Linked DNA regions of Oryzias latipes. The protein of the gene in region 1 interacts with the protein of each later gene in a pairwise test. Links are inferred from orthologs where the notes say so. Each region holds a gene or a part of one and is shown in the gene's direction. Other genes may lie near its edges.

Region 1 (6,112 bases):
AATAGACGATATATGGATATAAACAGTTAATATCACAGTTGTTCTTGAAATGATAGGTAACTGCAATGTTTTCACACCTGTTTCTAACGGTTGAGTTATAACATTAGCTTAGATACTAGAGCTAACAACCTCCGCTGTTGTAAAGTGGGACGCTCACCTGAAGAAACGAAGGAAGCAATGTCCGTGCTTCGAATTCGAGCAGCGTAATTCACGCACCACAGTAACTAGGTCCCCTTTGCATAGCTATGCAGCAGCCGAATACGCAAGCTGCTAACGTCCATAACACCTTAAAAAAACAAATGAAGTTGTGAGTGGCACCCGTTTACAAACGTAACTTCCGCTTTCGTCATAATCTAGCGACGAACTGAATCACACTGGTAAGAAATGAGAATTAACTTATAATTATGGTTCAGTTTTACTTCAACAAATATAATTAAGCTGATGTTGCAGGTTTGGATGGTTAAGGACACCAACAAATTGAATGTGCAGGGGGGAAAAGAAATACATCACACAAGAGTCTGCATGAAAGTTCAAACCTTTGCAAAGGGGATTTTGAGTGGCTTTATATTCTGTAACTGTGGTGTCAACAAACAAACAAACAAACAAACAAACAAACAAACAAACAAACAAGTTGTCTGTGACAAAGAAAACATTGTCAAAATGACTATAAAATTCTGCTTTTGACAGACACTTCTTTCCTGGGCACTTGTTTATAAACACCCCTCACTTATAATTTATTTATTTGGACTAAGAAATACATCATTTACTAAAACAAATATATATTTTTTGTCATAATAATTTCAACAATAATATGGGTCAGTTCCTTGACAGAAAAGGACATTTGTTTAGAACTGAGGAGTTTAATCTAACATATAGTAATACATATTTTTATGGACTCGAAGTCTAAATGTCAACACCATAAAATAAAGAAGATGAAAAGAGAAAATCAGTTACACCCCTGTTGGAAAATCTTGTTTCAAATTTACTCAGGAGAATAACAAAGTCATATGTGCCTTGTTTCAACGAGATGTTATTTCAGAACATTTTGTTGTCTTTTAGTGAAATACTTTTGTCTCTGACTTGCTATGGAAAGAACTTTCATTGCATCAGAAATAGTTGATTAATGACAAGATGAGCGATATCTCCTCTCAATTTCTGCACAGAATAATACTAGTCAAGATATTTAACATTGTAAAATATATTAAAGTTTGTTAACATTCTGTGAAAGAAAACCCAAAAACTCAGTCACCTACTTTGGAATTGTAATATTTATTAAAAATCTTTTGATTAGACTGTACATATTTAAAAAATTGCAACAATAACTCAAAATGCGATGCTCCAGTGCTGTGACTATATGTAAGGTCTGCATGGATTTGTATTATAACTTTTTCATTCATCCACACTTGTGTCGTGTATGTTTACAAAAAAAGTTGGCAAGAAAAAAAAAACAACAACGATATATATATATATATATATATATATATATATATATATATCGTTTTAAGATCTGAATTTACTAAATATTAAATTTTTCCAAAATACAAAGAAATCCATTTTAAAATAATGTATGCAGTCTATCCATACAAGGAACTACTATACATATACGTTTTGGTTTTCCAGAAAATAACTGTTCTTTCTGTGACATAAATATAGAAACACTTGATCATCTGTTTTTTTGAATGTATATATGTTAACAGTTTTTGGGAGAATTTCTTTTCTTGTTGCTCCTCAAAGTTTCCCTTTCCTATTTATATTCAATTACAAAAGCAGATCATATTATTTGGAGTAGTTTCTGTTGATAATATATTTGATTTGACATTCAATACTTTATTAATATCTGGGAAATTTTTCATTGATGAGAGCAGATTTTCAAAAACAAAACCATTATTCAATACATTTCATATTGAGATCAGTTTATATTAAAAATCTCTGATATTAATAAAAAGCAAAAATGCAATAAAATGTCTATTTTCATTGAAGATCACGCGTTGTATGAAAATCCCTTGTATTGTAAACTACAATTATATTATTTTTATTTATTTATTTATTTCTATTTTCTTCTTTTTTCTTTTTTTCTGTTGTAGCTTTTGTGTGTGCGTTTGTTTAAAGTTAAAATAAAAAATTACGTAACATCCGCTTTCATCATCACTTCGCGACCTCACACCAGACCGCAAGTGAAGCCATTTTTGGCCGTTGGAATGTAAGATTAACCTTTTTACGTATTTTCGATCTAAATAGCTTTAATAGCGGAACTTGTTGATTTAAACATGTAAGTTCGGAGGCTTTTTTATTTTGCGCGAAAGTTCCTTATAAAGGAAGAAGTCGTTTAACCGCGACGCGGGTGTAGTTTAGTCCCTTGTTGTGCTCAAAAAAAACAACGAGGGAACGAGTCCAAATAGAAGGTTTTTTTTTTTCTGAATGAAAATATTAGTGTAAGGGAAAATATTATGTAATTTACGGTCCTAAACATTTGGAATTAAGCTTAAAATAATTACAATTTATTGTGCACATGTTAAATGTCGGTAAAAAAAAAAAAAACACCGAAACAATTTTGAATTAATTAGATAAAAATGAAATGAAAAAGTTATATATATTCAAGTAATTAACGAGTTAAATTTAATTAATGACCTTTTTGGTGCAAAAAATTTGTATCTAGCACATTTTAAGGCTGTTTCTCTCTATCCAATAAAAACATAAATCACAATCCTTTACATAAACCTAGACATAATCACTTTTTTAGGTTTCTAGGTCTCTAATTTATGTGCTTTCTCGCCACATCAGGGCACCATTACCGATAAAGCGAAAGGAAGATGAAAAGAAAAACAGGGAAAAAGAAAAAATAAAGGAAGGAGACAAGGAAAGGGGTCGCGACAAAGCAAAGAAACGCCGCAGTGCTTCATCAGGCAGCAGCAGCAGGTGAGCTATTTTTTCTTTCTTATATTTAAAAATATAATATAGCATCCTGTCCTGGATGTTCATTCCCAACTAAATCATTGTTTGTTTTTGACCTTCCACATCTAGATCTAGCTCATCCTCCAGCAGCAGCTCTGGTTCTAGCTCTGGTTCTTCAAGTGGTTCCAGCTCCTCTTCCAGTCGCTCCGGATCCTCTAGCTCTCGGTCTTCCTCCTCCTCCAGCTCTTCGGCCTCTCCAAGTCCCAGCCGCAGACGCCATGACAACCGACGCCGTTCACGATCTCCGTCAGTCCATTTTCTCAGACATGAGACAAATATTTATATTGTATCTCAAAAATATTGACAATATTTATTCTGTAATTTTTTATCCTGCAGTTCTAAAACACAGAAGAGAGGAGAAGAAAGAGAACGAAGAAAAAGAAGTCCCACCCCTAAACCCACAAAGGTTCACTTGGGAAGGCTGACCAGGAATGTAACCAAGGCAAGCTAAAAAAACAAACAAAAGCTAAATCTTTGATTTTTAAAAAAAAAATTCTAATTCAATAAAAGCAGATCTTATTTTTCATGATAACTAGTTAGAATGAAATATTCTTTATGTTTATTGTCTGTCAAGATGTGCGCCTAAAACTGCAAGAATTAAATAAAAAGCTAAATATTTTGTTTTTAGTTTTTTTTAATGGAACAATCCTTCACAAAATAATGGTTAAAAACTAAATGTATGTTTCAATTTACTAGGAACACATCCAGGAGATTTTCTCTACATATGGAAAAATTAAAGCGGTTGACATGCCGGTGGAAAGGCTCTTCCCAAACCTGACCAAAGGCTTTGCTTACGTGGAGTTTGAGACCCCTGAAGAAGCCCAGAAAGCTCTTAAACACATGGATGGAGGTAGGAAAGAATCATTTAAGGGGCTGGAGAAATCATATTGACGAACATAAACTTGGTCAGGTAAAAACAAACCTTCCTGATGACTTTTTTAGGTCAGATTGACGGGCAGGAAATCACTGCAGCTGCTGTGCTGACTCAGCTGATCCGTGGTCCTCCACGTAGACTGTCTCCTCCTCGAAGAATGCCGCCACCTCCACCGATGTGGCGCCGCAGCCCACCACGCATGAGAAGAAGGTTATTTAAAAGCTTTCACTTGTACCTTTTTAATATTTTTAACGTTTTATTATGCGGTCCATTGAAACGGAATCTTCTCCCACCTACTGATGCTCGTCCTTTTTTTGTGCCTGTTTAGATCACGCTCCCCAAGGAGGCGCTCGCCACCACGTCGCCGCTCTCGCTCTAGGTCTCCTGGCCGCAGGCGCCATCGCTCTCGTTCAAGCTCAAATTCCTCCAGATAGAAAGTTGTCTTTACTCTAAATACTCGCCGCAGATCAGCTGCAGTTTTCGCATTTCCTGGCTCCTCGGACACAAAGGATCTATATAAATTGCAGTAAATTTAGCTGAGTTCGTAGTGACAAGGAGACGAGAAAAATTCTTTCTTTTTTTTTAAATTTTGTGCTGAAAATTGACTGTAGTTTTTATGTTATGTCTGATGACATCTAACAAGATTTTGTGATTCCTTCATTCGAGTTGATTTTTTTTTTTGAAGAATTTTGAGAATAAAACCTATGAAACATCTTGATTCTGATTTCTGTCATCTTGTGATCCGGCTCAACTATTATTCTGATTTCTAGTCACAAAAATACTTTTAACCCTTATGTGGTGTTCGGGTCTGTGGGACCCGTTTTCATTTTTTATCAAAAGAAAAATGATACAATTAATTAATTTTTCAAACTCAGACTCACTGGCCTTGGCTCATTTTCTGTGAAGAACAGATATCAGAATACATTTTTAATGACCACACACCGTATACCCCCCCCAACACATTTCTATTACATATAAGATGTTCGGGTCCACTGGACCCAGGGCTAATAGAAGTGTGGAAATTGATGTTTTTATGTACCTACACTCTGTCCTCCACCTGTCTGGGCCTGCTGTGTGTGTGTGTGTGTGGGTGTGTGTGTGTGTGTGTGACCAGTGAGAAAGAGAGAGAGAGAGTGGCAGAGAGAGAAAGATTCACTGTAAATGTGAGTTCTGTTTCTGCACCTGCGGTTCCCGCACAAGGTTGCAACATTGTTAGAATAATTCAAGCATCAACTCTGTTTGCTCTCGTTCTCCCGCACATTTGATCATTTGACTTTCTTGCGGGAATCTTTAATATCTCACATAGCAGATAAAGATCTGCTACAAATTGGAGGCGGGACACTATAAATATAGCTTTGCCAGTGTGGTTTCTCATCACAACTGATCAAAATGGCCAAAAGACTTTCTGCGCAGAGGGCCCTGGAATTGATTTTAGAAGAGAGAGACGTTTTCGATGATGATGTAGAGGGAGACGATTCAGAAGAGGAGGTTTCAGAATTGGAGGATCACATTTCTGAAAATTCAGAGTCTGACAGTGACTCTGGAGAAGATGATTAGATTGGGGCGGCCGTGGTGCAGCGGTAGGGTGGCCAACCCCTGATCGTAAGATTGCAGGTTCAATTCCCGCCTTGCAGGCCCATGAGTCAAAGTGTCCTTGGGCAAGACACTGAACCCCACCTTGCCTCTGGTGGTTGGCGGGCGCCTGTGTTTGGCGGAGCCGCCACCAGTGTCTGAATGTGTGAGTGAATGTGTGTGTGACTGGGTGAATGGGTCCGTGACTGTAAAGCGCTTTGTCCTTGTAGGAAGAAAGGCGCTATATAAGTATAAGCCATACCATTTAGATTGAGCATCAGCCAGTTCCAAAACAAAGCCATCAGCCAGGACCAGGCTGTCAGCAGCCAGGACCATGTGTTGTAAAGGCTAGTGGCTAGAAGCCCTTACATGGGGCTGATGTGTTGTCTTGACAATAGGTTTACTCTGTGTTCAGCTTGTGTTGTGCACCTGAATGGTTTCAGTTTCTTTGTTCAAATAAATAAAAGTTAGTAGTTTTGAAAACCATTGCTTCACTTGAAAATTTGTTTCCAATCATATCTTGATTTTAATTGATTTTCTTTATCACGTTTTAAATAATGAGTTATGAATGTGATCTAACAAAGGTAAAGGGCAAATATTAACCAAATAAACTGATTGTAATTGGATGAGGTAAACATCTGTCGAGTATTTTAACATCAAAGTGTTTGATTGTGAGGCATTAAAAACCACAACATGCAACGGGTCCACCAGACC
Region 2 (6,146 bases), on another chromosome or scaffold:
GATAACATGTCTCTTTTTTTTTTTTTTCCCCTGGAATTCACATCTCTGTTTCTGTTGTGATCCCAATAAAAACTTTATTATCCCATTCCTGTGACAGTGGAAGACCCGTTGGATGACATTCAGGACAAGGATCACTGGACTTTCATGAAGCAGTACTTGCAGGATTGGCCTTTCCCCCCCCAGAGCCAGTACAAGGTTGGGGAGGTCATGAAGGCAGAACATCGGGGAACCCAGCAGGACTGCAAGGTTCTGCTCATCGACAGTAGCTTGTTGAAAGTCGTTTTCCAGGTTTGCACCCCCTCATTGTTTTCCTGTTTCTCTTTCTGTATTATAGTATCTTCCGCCTTTTTTTTGCTGCTTAACTCCTTCCATTTTTCAGCTATTTTAACCATTCAACTATTAAAATGTTCGGCTCTTTCAGCTTTTTCCAGCTATGACTTTTGGTCCTTCAAATCCTTGAACTTTTCAAGATATTCCAGTATTTCCAGGATTTTTGCCTCCATTGAAATACATGGAGAATCCTTGGTGCAGAAGCTCGCTGGTTCGAGACCCGGCTCTGGCATTTTTCACAAAAATATCTTTTATGATTATTGTGCTGTTTTCACTTTATTTATGGTCAACTTTGATGATTTCCTTCTTTTTTATGAATTATTTTTCCAATTATTAGCCTTTAAATTTTATTTTCATTCAGCAATATAGCATTCAAACCTGCATTTTCTTCTGGAAATGCAGATCTTTCTAGTTTCTAGTGTTATCTTTGTGTGGTTCCTTTTTTTTGTGAGCTTTTGTGGTTTGTGTGGTCTTTCCCAGAGTGACGGGCACACAGAGTGGATCTACAGAGGCTCCTTACGGCTGGAGCACATGCTGAAACTGAGGCGCTGGATGATGTCCAAAAATAAGAAGAAAACCTGATCGTGTTTATCAACATGTGTCTGAAGTTATTTCAGAAAAGAAGTTGCAGAAGGAGGACATTAATTGTCGAGGTGCGCTGTTATCGAGGAACTTCCTTGTGAACAGTTGAATGGATTTTATTTAGTGTCTCTAAAAGTAAAATCTACATCTGAAGCATCTGTGGACATTACGCTGCTTTACTTCACTTTTTGTTCACTTTGTATTACATTAATTATGGATTCATGCTTACTTTAATGTAGTTTTTAGTCTTAATAAAATGTCTATTTTTCTGCTTGTTCTTCTTTTAGCCTGAAATGTGATTATAAGCAAAACATCTGCTGTTTATGACTGAAAAAATAAATGAAAAAAATCAAAATAAATTCAAATAATCTGCAATTATTAATCTTATTCCAATTTATTGTTATAGTTTTGAAAATGTTAATGTACTGGTTAGCCTCTCATTAGTAAACCGTCCGTTCTTGTTACAATTATTTATAAAAATCCCTTTGATTCTGGTCTGTATTTGTGTTAAAGACGCAAAAGATGGTTTTCATTATTTTTAAACATTAAAAAATGTGAAGGTCTCAAACTTTTTAAATCCATTTTTGATTTCATTCAAACTAAATGTTTTTATTTATTTAAAACCACGTTTGTTTGGAAAACAGTTTACTTACAGATAAAACAAGAGCAAATGTGGAACTTTCATTAATTAAAATGAATTATTCTTACTTTAGATCTAAATAATTGCTGTGTTTTGGATGGAAATAACGATTTTCATTACATTTTAAACCTGGAAAACATGAGGACAAATTTATTTTGGGATTTTTAAATTACGTTAAATTTACTTTTATATTGATTGTTCATTTTGGGGAAGCAACAAGGAACAGCAGCCACAAATAAATACATTTTTTAAAATGTGGCCAGATGTGAAAGTTTAAACTACCTCAAAATCAAATGTATTTATGTAATGACCAGATTTAGATAATTTGTTGCCCAATCTTTTTCTTTAAGTTTCATTCTATTGCAAACTCGCTTCCATGGAAATAAAACAATATTAATCTCGATAAGTATGATTTAATCCCAGATTAGAAAGGACTACGGTTTCCTAAAATGTCATGGAAGTATTTTGGAAAGAGGAGACGTCCTCGCGCGCGGAGGCGGGGCCAGCGGCAGCAATTTGAAGCAGAAGCTGCGCTGCCTGCCGCGGGCCTCAGGCGGACGACACCAACCGAGCACCAGGCTAGCAAGAATTTTGCCGAGAAATATTATCGCCACCACGGATTTCTTATGGGATAAACGCACAGGCCTCGCTGCTAAAACGGTAAATAGTTTCTAGCTTTCTTTCGTGTCATTTATTTCCAAGTTTGACGGCAGTTTGTACATTAGCTTGCTGTTACGGAGCTGATAAATCCAGCTAAGCTAAGATGGCGGTCTAGTTATTTACATTAGCAAGATGCTAGCATGGAGTAGCTACCAACTAAACACCGATATCTTGAATTTATATAGAACGCGTTTTTTCTGGTGTCATTTATCACCAGGTTTGGGTGCGGTGGTTATTTTTTTGTCGATCTTAACGTTTTTAAGAGTAAACAAATCAAATCATGTTTCAGACGTTACTTGGAGGACTCGGATTTTTTCCCCCGTCAATTAAACGATCTGGTTTAGCAAAGGTTCAAACAAACTTGATAGAAATGCTGTTAAATATACGGGAACTCAGAGCGTCCTGCTCTTCATTATCACTGTATTATGATTTTTAGTGTTGATAGTTTTTAAATGAACTGTCTGTTATTAACGGAGGCGGTTCTGCTGCTCGGAGTTAGTGCAGATGGTTTAGTCTGGCTCCTCTGATGTTGCAGTGTTGCTCCTGTGGGATTGTAGTTCTGGCTCCTGCAATCCCGCAGGAGCTGGGGTTGCAGTCTGGATCTTCTGGGGTTGTTGCAGTGTTGCTCCTGCAATCCCCAGGATTGGCTCCTGGGGATTTCGGTCTTGCTCCTGAAGAAATGCAGTCTGGCTCCTGCGGGGTTAGTGTCTTGCTCCTGAAGAAATGCAGTCTGGCTCCTGCTTGGATTGCAGTCTTGCTCCTGCAGGTTTGCCGTGTGGCTCCTGCGGGGTCTCGTGACACATTTTTATGTTCTCAATCAATGCAGCTATCTCTGAGGAAGCCGTCCCAACCCAGTTACACTTGGATTAAAATATATGTTTGGGATTCCTCATAAATCTGATACCAAGATTATTCATCTTTTCATATAATTCAACATGTAAAATATAAGTCTTTGTCCAGTTTTGACTGATGATGGTTTTTCTGTGGATTTATCGGTTTTCTTTCTCTCACTCCTGCAGATGCCTTACACAAGACGGTATTCGTCTTCTGACAGAGACAGTCGGACCAGCTACCCGGACCGCTACCGAGACAGAGGAAGGAGACAAAGGTACAGAAGATCACCCACCTACTCATCCAGCAGTGACCGAGAGCGTGACCGAAGAGGGCGGGGACACAGACCCAACGGAAGCTATGGAAGAACCAGGAGGTTTGTCTCCAAGAGCTGCAGTTTTTGTTGGTTTTCCTCTCCAAATTTCAAAAGAATCTCCTTTTTTGATGCAAATCTTTGTGTTTTTACTTGTCTTGTACAGTCGCAGCTATGACAATCGCTCAATGGAGCATCGACCGTACGACCGAAGATACTGTGAAGGATACCGACGACTCGATCCCAGCCGAGATCAAGACCGGGACCGGGAGCCCCACGGCACAGCTGAGAGCTTTTATCCACGAGAATTCTCCCCCAACTTGTACGACTACCGACGCGGCCGTGAGAAAGAGCGGGAAAGGTCCTACCAGAGGAAAGGCAGCAGGCGTAAGCACAAACGAAGGCGGCGTAAAACCAGGTCCTATAGCCAATCCTCCTCGGTGAGTACGACCATGTCTGAGACGGTGCTTTAGCGCTTTCTTCATCTTCTCCTCTTCAACCTTTCTTCTCTTCCTTTAGTCTATCTCTTTCTCTAACCGTTCCTTTTTTTACAGCTTGTGGAATTGGTAAGTAGTATATTTTATGATTTGATTTTGTTCTGTTTTTTTTTTATTACACTTTTGCAGAAATTGGCATTCCGTTTTCAGGGCATTTTCATTTTTTGGCAATAACATCTTAGTCATTCCTTAGACCAAATTTTGGAGGTTTCTTATTCCTAAACATCTAATCAACTTTTATTTTGTAGTGGTAGTTGATTTCTAAGATTGCATAGAAAAGTGAAAATGTTCTTTCAAAAATCATAAGTAGCCTTTAACAAATTTGCCCTTTTAGTTGTTTTTTCTCTTTATTCTGTTAATTAAACCACACCTTTAAGGTAGTTTAACTTGAGGAACTCCTAGGTAAAAAAAAATGGATGTGGTTCATTTTTGGAAGTATTTCTGCTTGAGCTGGTCTCCTTCAGTAACTTTTTTCTTCCATCGTTCTTCCAGAATGTCAGTCTGAAAAGTTTTTTTTTTTGATAAATGCCTGTTTTTATTGGTTTGAGATGATGAATGGAAATGCCAGATGCTTCTTTGTTTGTGAGCAGTCATGGTTTGGAAGGTAGAGGGGGGAGAGGAGCAGAGGACGACAAATGATGTTTTACTTTCCTTGCACTATATCGTTATCTATTTCCTTCACGTGCTGTCATGCGTGAATCGCCCCATGACCACGAAATCCACCTACTACTACTACCACCACCCTCCTCCTCCCTCCTCATCCACCTGTGCCAACACTGAAACCCCCGCGTCCCCCCCCCCGGTCGTGTTGTGACCTGCTGATGGCGGTCTGGGTGAAAAAACAGAGGAGCAACAGCCGGACGCGGGCACTGAGTGTGAGGGACGACGAGGAAGGGCACCTGATCTGTCGGAGTGGGGACGTCCTGCAAGAGAGATGTACTCACTGCCACTACTCTATCGTAACCCTTCTCCATATGAGTATTACAGCATAGAGCATTTACATGACACAAGGAGTGCCTGATGACGATGATGATGATGATGATGATGCCTTGCTAGAATGCTCTTCGCTCTTGCTGAATTAGCAGGGTGGACTGCAGAAATGTTGAACAATTTAAGATGGACTATAGCTTTATTTTCTTCTCCCACCCCCCCTACTTTAGCCGCTTAGGCTGTGGAGCATTTTTCCGTTTCACAGGTTACTCGACTTCGCTAGAGTTCACCTTGTAGTTGTGAAGCTCAGAGCTTCATCTTATCAACCCCAGCTTGTCTGTTGTTTACAGGGAATCCACACAGTTTAGCAGCTCGCATTCAACACTTACTGTCACTTTAGCAACACTTTAGCCTTTACCACATTGACATCACACTTTTAAATTCATTTAGAACATCACGACGATTCAAATTTAGTCATTTAAAGAGTGGAGTGCCTTACGGCTGCCTCCTCTGTTAATTACGGATCAGAACGTTAGACCGGGTAGGCGGCTGTCTTCAGACTGGGATGGGCGATCAGTGACATGCCTGTCTGTCTATACGTTGTCGTTTGCGGTCGTCTAACACCTTTCTTCTTCTTTTGCCCCACTTTCCCCTCCTTTCCCCTCCTCTCATGTGGTGTTGCAGATGAGATCGTCGGCACTTTGGGGGAGGGCACCTTTGGGAGGGTGATGAAATGCATCGACCATCGAAGGTGAGGGTCCGCTCAGCCTGGACCGTCTTTTCTTCTCTGTCATAAAAAAAAACTAAAAAAACATTTGCCCATGGAGGCAGTCGTGGATTTTAGAGCTATTGTTGTTACAAAATTCTGAAGTAAATCTGGTTTTCTGTTGACAAAACTACAAGACTTTAGATGAAAAGTGGAAACATTCACCAAACATTCCCCAAAACTTTAGATTTATCTCAGGAAGGATACATTTAACTGAATCTAAGTGTGTTAAACCTATTGATTAGAGCTGGACTGAGTGAGTATGCACCCATAGAAAATGATGTAGTATTTCCTGATTTATCCCTGGAGACGCGTTCCCTAAATCAGTGTTTTTCAACCAGTGTGCCGCACACACTAGTGTGCCGTGGGAGATGGTCAAGTGTGGGGTGGGAACTTGCCCTCATTAACTGATCTAAAAACATTTCCCATCTCCAGGAAATCAGCTCTTTGTTCATCCAAACAGGTCCTGATAAAACACTGAGTAGTTAGGAATATAAAAGATCTTAAAATTACTTTTTCTTTGTGTTTATTTAATTCTATTAAAGACATTTTGATAAGAATGACTGTACCGCGATTTACCTGCAGCTATGACAGTTT
Region 3 (6,160 bases), on another chromosome or scaffold:
ATTTTTGTTTGGCTGACAGACTCAAAAGAAAAAATACTTCTCATTTGCTGTGATTCTTGTTTTCTTGAAGAAAAGCCTGAATACCCGTTTTGAATCCTTTCATTCTTCTCCCACTTCTTCACACAATAGACACATTTCAGAAAAGAAATTTTTCCAGAGTAAGTCAAGTTATGTTCACTTATTTTAACAATGACAATGCTCTGTTACTTTGGTAAATGAAAACAAGATTTGAAATAGTTTTTCAAAGTCTCCCAAGTTTCAGTTCAGTTGTTCCTGAAACAATTAGTAGTCGTGTTCTACTGAGAGACTCAGATTTACAGTTTTCCAGTGAAGTACACCACCTTACAAGACTTGGTCTGCAGAGGTGGAGACTTGATGAATAAATGTGCATGGGGAGGGAGGCTGTGTTCAGAAAGAAGTGGAAATGTGCTTTTTAACTACTCTTGTAGCATTGCTGATTTTTAAAGAAAGCTGACTGACTGATTTTATTAGAATGATTTGGGGAAAAAATCAATTTTATTGTTTTGAGAAGGCTTTTTTTTTCACCTGAAGACAGATTAATAGACAAAAGCATTGAGGGCAAAGGGTGTGGGGAATTCTGAAGAGGGAGATAAATCTGATGAAAGTTATTCTTCACAAAGATTTTTAAAAATGCATCAGTTTATTCGGAATATCTGAATAGACCTAAAAAATCTGTTTGACAGTAATGGCAAAAAAACTGGTCTGAACTTGTTTTAAAACTGTTTTTTTCATAAAATAAAATGTTCTCTTGCTCTACATTCTCGACTTGCTGTAGCAAACACATTTTTAAAGTTTATTGGAGGAACTAAGGGTTGATTCTGTTTCTTCTGGCCTTCAAAATATTTCCAGATGAAAGTACTTTATTTCCTGGTGTTGAGTATTTTACAAACCTTGACAATGTCTGTTACTACTGCGTGCTTCTTGACACTCATATTCAGTACACCACTTTTTTAATTATTTTTTTTTCTATTTTTGTTTCAACGTAACCGACTAACATTTTTACCCATTTATTCAAAAAATTATTATTCTACATCAATAAAAATGTGTTCTTTTCACATTTGAAGTTCCATCCATCACGTCGGGTGGAAACGGATTAGATGGCGTTTTGGGGAAGTACATTTCGGCGATGTATGAAGGAGAAAGAAACTTGGTGGAAAGGTTTGGCAGCAATGCAGGGGCTGCAGATTTGTCCCTCTGGTTGGGCTTCAGGTCAATAAATCAATCAAAATGTAACAAACTGAAAAGTAAAGTAAATGTAGAAAATGTAATTTTTTGCACAGTGTGTACATTGCGTAATGAGTTTAAATGGATCTAGGGATGGATCCTAGGATTATAAAACAGAGTACAGGTACTGTTGTGGTAATAGGGGATACAATTGACTTTGTTTTTGTATAAAAATATATTTTTTTCTAAGAAAACATAACATAGTCACTAAAATTTTAAAAATGATTTTTTTTGTTTAGAATTTATAATATACTTCTTCATAACACAGTGCAGGATAAAGAAACGGGCTGCACGGTGGCACTCTTGCCTCCCCCCCTGCTTGGGGACCTGACACAGAACAATGGGGGACCTTTCTCTGTGGAGTTTGCATGTTCAATCTGTGCATGTGTGGGTTCTCTCCAGGGTCTCCGGCTTCCTCCCACCATCCAAAAACATGCTCCATAGGTCAGTTGGGAACTCTAACACTCTCTGTCCCTGAGAGTGAATGGGTGTGTGATTGTGGCTCTGCAATACTGGCGATCGGTCCAGGGTGTCCCTTGCCTTGCTCTGGCAGCCCCGTGACCCCAAGATAAAACACCAGAAGATGAACGAATGAATAATAAAGATACAAATTGGTATTACTCTGATATAAAATATGAGAAATTACTCAATGGATCTTTACAACTCTGGTTAAAGGCGGCAAAAGAGAAAACTGTAAATGGCTTTGGACCTCAAGAAAAATAATACAATTTACCAAGGGTTAAGGTTTATTTGTGATTTACTTGTATTGTGTAAACTACATTTATGAATGATAGTGAAAGCTTTAAAGATCTTTATATATGATAGGTTTTTCCCCTGAATATTTGAAGCTACATTTCTCAGTAAATCTTGTATAATATTATACTTAATTATTTTTTGTCGCATAAATAGCTTATCAGTTGTTTTTGTGCACCAAGGTTGGTTAAAAATCGGATATTTGCTTCCTTTTAGCAACTCTCGTAGTAAACCTAATAATGAGGACCAATGTTTTGTTAATGTAAAGGCAGCCTATAAATATGTGAAATGCAGAGCTAGAACACAAAATTTGACACAAACACATCTAAATAATACTACTACTAATAAAAATCTACATCAATCAGATGACTAAAGAACTGGGGGAAATAAGATAGTTCCAGATTGTTTCTACTAGTTTTTGGAAAAGTTAAATACTTTTAATTGGCGGCTATTGGTTTGCAGGTGAAAAACGTATATGTTTGGACAACATAACATTGATTGTACATGAGAACAGTCAATGCTCCATAATTAATAAACCATCAAGCCCCGTTGAATTTATTGTGCAATCTTCGGAACACAAGATAATAGATTTTAATGTGTGTATGTATTTTCTATGTGAAATTTTACAACACCCTGATTATATGTCATTGTGTGACCGTGTTCTTTCAATAAACTCTTTGTTTACTGCTCTGTTCTTAACCAAAAAATAATAATGATGAAAAAGAAATTACAAAAAAGGACAGGAAGTAAGAACTGCAGTACAGGAACCGGAAATAGCTTATCTTGTCGTTGATTGGCTGTTTCTGGAACTTAGTGAACGCCCACCACAGAAGAAGCTAGCTACAGTAGCGTGTAGCTATTTGGTGGAACAGTCGAGAACAAGTTCAGTAAAAAAAAAAAAGATGCCTCGTGTTTACATAGGTCGTTTAAGCTATCATGTTCGTGAAAAAGATATTCAACGATTTTTTAGCGGATACGGTAAATTACTGGAAGTCGATATGAAAAATGGGTAAGTTCTAGAGATAAAATCGCACATGTTTGGCTAACGCTAAGACACCTGGGCATGTCTACGGCGTAGCTGCAGACATGAGGTGAACGCGTTTGAACTGTGCGCGTACATATTCAGTCACCGTTACATATCGCTTAAGGATTCCTGTCAGTGTTAAAATAAATACCGGATTGAGGGTAAAACGTCCATTTTCTCTGATTTCTTTTTAGATTCTCATATGTCAAACATGGCGTCGTTATTTGCTACATTTGCTAAGCTAACGTCGGCTAATTGAATTTATCCTCACTCAAATAATGTTCTTATTAGTGAAATGAAATTGTGATTCTTCTTTCCACAGCTATGGCTTCGTTGAGTTCGAGGATAACAGGGATGCTGACGATGCTGTGTACGAGCTGAACGGGAAGGAGCTGTGTGGGGAGCGGGTGATTGTCGAGCATGCCCGGGGACCGCGGCGAGACCGAGACGGCTACGGTGGGGGTTCCTCCTGGGGTGGTGGGCGCAGTAAGTGCAGTTATTTAAAGATACCACGTCTCTTCTTCTCCTCCATCAGTGAGGTTACAATGTGAGCTGCTCAGGTGATTGATAATGTAATAAAGCCCTTTTAACAGTGTTACAGTTTTTTTGCTCGTTAATTGGGTTATTGTTTGTATCTTTTTCTGTAGCAAAAAAAACTCATTTATTTTTGTACCACCTCAACTACTTGCGTATTAAATCAGTTATGCTTTATTACAGGGTTCCTTGTTTCTTTCTGAATCTTTTAGCTTGCAGATCTAACATTAAAACAACCTTAACTTTGTTTCTCCAAATCTACTACCTTGCTTAGTTTTTCACTTATATACCTGCTAAAGGTTTTTTTTAATCAACTGAGCACATCTAATCTAAGATAATCAAAGTAGGTACGACACGAATGTCTAGAAAATAACCAAGGTGGTAGATCCTGAGGACCAAGGTTGAAGGCTACTGCCCAAGAGGTGTTACCCTTCCCCTATTTGTGTTTAGGTTCGTCCTTATGGTGTTCAAGCTACATTGAATCAACATATGTCTACTCAGTTCAACCTGATTTAAATCGTATTGTAGAATAGAATATCTTTATTTATATAGCACTTTTCCCAGAAAGAATCTCAAAGTGCTTTACAGCAGAAGCATCAAATCAAAACACAAAAGTAATAAAATAATAAAACAAAACACTGTAAACATAGTAAAATAAGTTCTAAAATCAACTAAAAGCTCTCCTGATTAAAAACGTCTTGACCTGAGATTTAAAACACTCTACGGAGCCCCTCTGATGCAACAACGATGGGAGTTCCAAAGATGAAGAGCAACGGCTTGAAATGAGAGATCTCATCTAGTTTTAAAGCAGGTTTAAGGTCAGATGTTTAAGGTCAGATATTTTAAAAGGTCAGATATGTACTTCTGAGCTTGACCATGCAAAGCTCTAAAAACTAAAAGTAATTTTTTTAATTTTTAAATCAAAAGTAGATGAATGCTAAAGGAGCAATTTATTAATAGAATCCAGTTGAAGATAATGTATTGTATTTTGGTAAACTGTGAGCATACCTGTAGGAACCCTGTTTTAAATCAGGCGTTAGTGCTTTCTCAAATCTTATCTTCACTCTGATGGACTGCACTCGTCTTTTCTTTGATAATTTGATAATTTCCATTGTGTCAGTTTATTGTGAACCGTTTTCTCCCTGATCAAAACTTTGCACGGAGTCAAATCTTCATTTCAATGAGGAATAAACTGCTATTCTGAACTCAGGGCACTTTTAAGAGTAATGCTATGTATCCAAGTAAAAGTAAAAAAAAAAGTTGTGGAGTTCTTTAAAATGTTTTGATTAATGATGTTAAATTGTAAAATTAGTTTGATTAGAAATGTTTACACACAAATGACTGCAAACGTAGCTAGTGTAGTCTTTGCTGGTCTTTTTCTTTTTTTTTTAGGACTTCACTAACATTTTTATGAAATGTGTTTGTTAACCTTGGCATATATATATTTTTTTATATATTAAACATTAACAGAAGTCCTTGATGTTTCAATTTGAAAGAGTCCTGTTGCGGGCTGAGGCTGAGAGTCCATTGAGGCTAAAGATGACTGGCTAAGATGACTGCCTGTCCCGTTTGGCCTTGGCTTTCACCTTACAATGTGTGTGTGACCTTTGCCCCCCTCTTGATCCTTGGCTGACCTAACCGGAAGCCATGATGACAGCAACCTTTTGCCAATAGACCAGGGGTGATGGTGAGGATTGCCATTGGTTTCTATGTTGTCAGAAAACATGACTGGATCAGCTTTTTTTTTTTTTTTTAGGAAAATCAAAAAAACAATTTTGTAAGTATAAGCCTGAAAGGAAAGAAAAAAAGCATTTCAGACTTTTCCAAACTGTCCAAAAACAGTAAATGCTTTTTGTTTGGTCAATTTGATGGACCAGTCTCTTTAACAGAAACCTGTATGGATGCCTCATTTTTGTGTTAGTAGGTGCAGAGGTTAAGAAGTTAGAATGGCTTTGTTACTGGATACCAAAACAGATACAGTGGTGTTCTTGTAACTTCTGTATTTTTACAATTCAAACTTTAGAGCTCCAAAATGGCTTATTTGAACTTTCGACTTTGAAAATAGATGGATCTTCATTTATTTAAGTAAAATCCCCTTTGGAAATGTTACTTGATAGCCGAGCTCAGTAGTTCTTTTGCCCGTCGTATTAGCTTCCCATAACTGTTGTGTGCTTTCCTTTTTAAAGGCAGCGGTTACAGCAGCAGCAGCAACAGCAGCAGCAGCAGGACCCGCGTAGGCAGAGACAAGTATGGGCCTCCTGTCCGTACCGAGTACCGCCTCATTGTGGAGAACCTGTCCAGCCGCTGCAGCTGGCAGGACCTTAAGGTATCTGTTAAAGCGACGGATTTGGTCATGTCATCGGCGCATAGTTTGCAATTTTCTTTCTTGGCAGTGCATTTAAGCATGGTTCTAATTTTTTCTTACCCTATAAGGATTTCATGCGTCAGGCTGGAGAGGTGACTTATGCTGATGCTCATAAGGAACGCACTAACCAGGGGGTAATTGAGTTCCGGAGCTATTCTGACATGAAGAGGGCTTTGGACAAGCTGGATGGAACCGATATTAACGGGCGAAAGATCCGTTTGGTTGAAGACAGACCGCAC

Evidence for each region.
Region 2: the proteins of rnps1 (region 1) and dual specificity protein kinase CLK2 interact in binary tests that used the Homo sapiens proteins (3 or more experiments, as listed by UniProt). The two-hybrid records come from large-scale screens. The link is inferred for Oryzias latipes from reciprocal best matches to the Homo sapiens genes RNPS1 and CLK2.
Region 3: the proteins of rnps1 (region 1) and srsf6 interact in binary tests that used the Homo sapiens proteins (3 or more experiments, as listed by UniProt). The two-hybrid records come from large-scale screens. The link is inferred for Oryzias latipes from reciprocal best matches to the Homo sapiens genes RNPS1 and SRSF6.

The regions. Positions count from the first base shown.
Region 1 is NC_019866.2:11,023,303-11,029,414, reverse strand, and holds rnps1 (RNA-binding protein with serine-rich domain 1), read left to right. Parts: upstream 1-2,106; 5' UTR 2,107-2,198; coding exon 2,199-2,200; exon of another isoform or gene 2,201-2,267; coding exon of another isoform or gene 2,268-2,269; intron 2,270-2,781; coding exon 2,782-2,916; intron 2,917-3,021; coding exon 3,022-3,198; intron 3,199-3,288; coding exon 3,289-3,394; intron 3,395-3,648; coding exon 3,649-3,802; intron 3,803-3,894; coding exon 3,895-4,036; intron 4,037-4,154; coding exon 4,155-4,260; 3' UTR 4,261-4,544; downstream 4,545-6,112. UniProt on the Homo sapiens protein: Part of pre- and post-splicing multiprotein mRNP complexes. Auxiliary component of the splicing-dependent multiprotein exon junction complex (EJC) deposited at splice junction on mRNAs.
Region 2 is NC_019869.2:6,673,823-6,679,968, reverse strand, and holds the start of dual specificity protein kinase CLK2, read left to right. Parts: upstream 1-2,056; 5' UTR 2,057-2,212; intron 2,213-3,231; coding exon 3,232-3,419; intron 3,420-3,522; coding exon 3,523-3,796; intron 3,797-3,910; coding exon 3,911-3,922; intron 3,923-4,698; coding exon 4,699-4,789; intron 4,790-5,467; coding exon 5,468-5,534; intron 5,535-6,146. Other genes in the region: histone-lysine N-methyltransferase SETDB1-B, read left to right, coding at 98-288, 811-912. UniProt on the Homo sapiens protein: Dual specificity kinase acting on both serine/threonine and tyrosine-containing substrates. Phosphorylates serine- and arginine-rich (SR) proteins of the spliceosomal complex.
Region 3 is NC_019865.2:7,383,258-7,389,417, reverse strand, and holds the start of srsf6 (serine/arginine-rich splicing factor 6), read left to right. Parts: upstream 1-2,815; 5' UTR 2,816-2,900; coding exon 2,901-3,007; intron 3,008-3,344; coding exon 3,345-3,508; intron 3,509-5,742; coding exon 5,743-5,882; intron 5,883-5,989; coding exon 5,990-6,160. UniProt on the Homo sapiens protein: Plays a role in constitutive splicing and modulates the selection of alternative splice sites. Plays a role in the alternative splicing of MAPT/Tau exon 10. Binds to alternative exons of TNC pre-mRNA and promotes the expression of alternatively spliced TNC.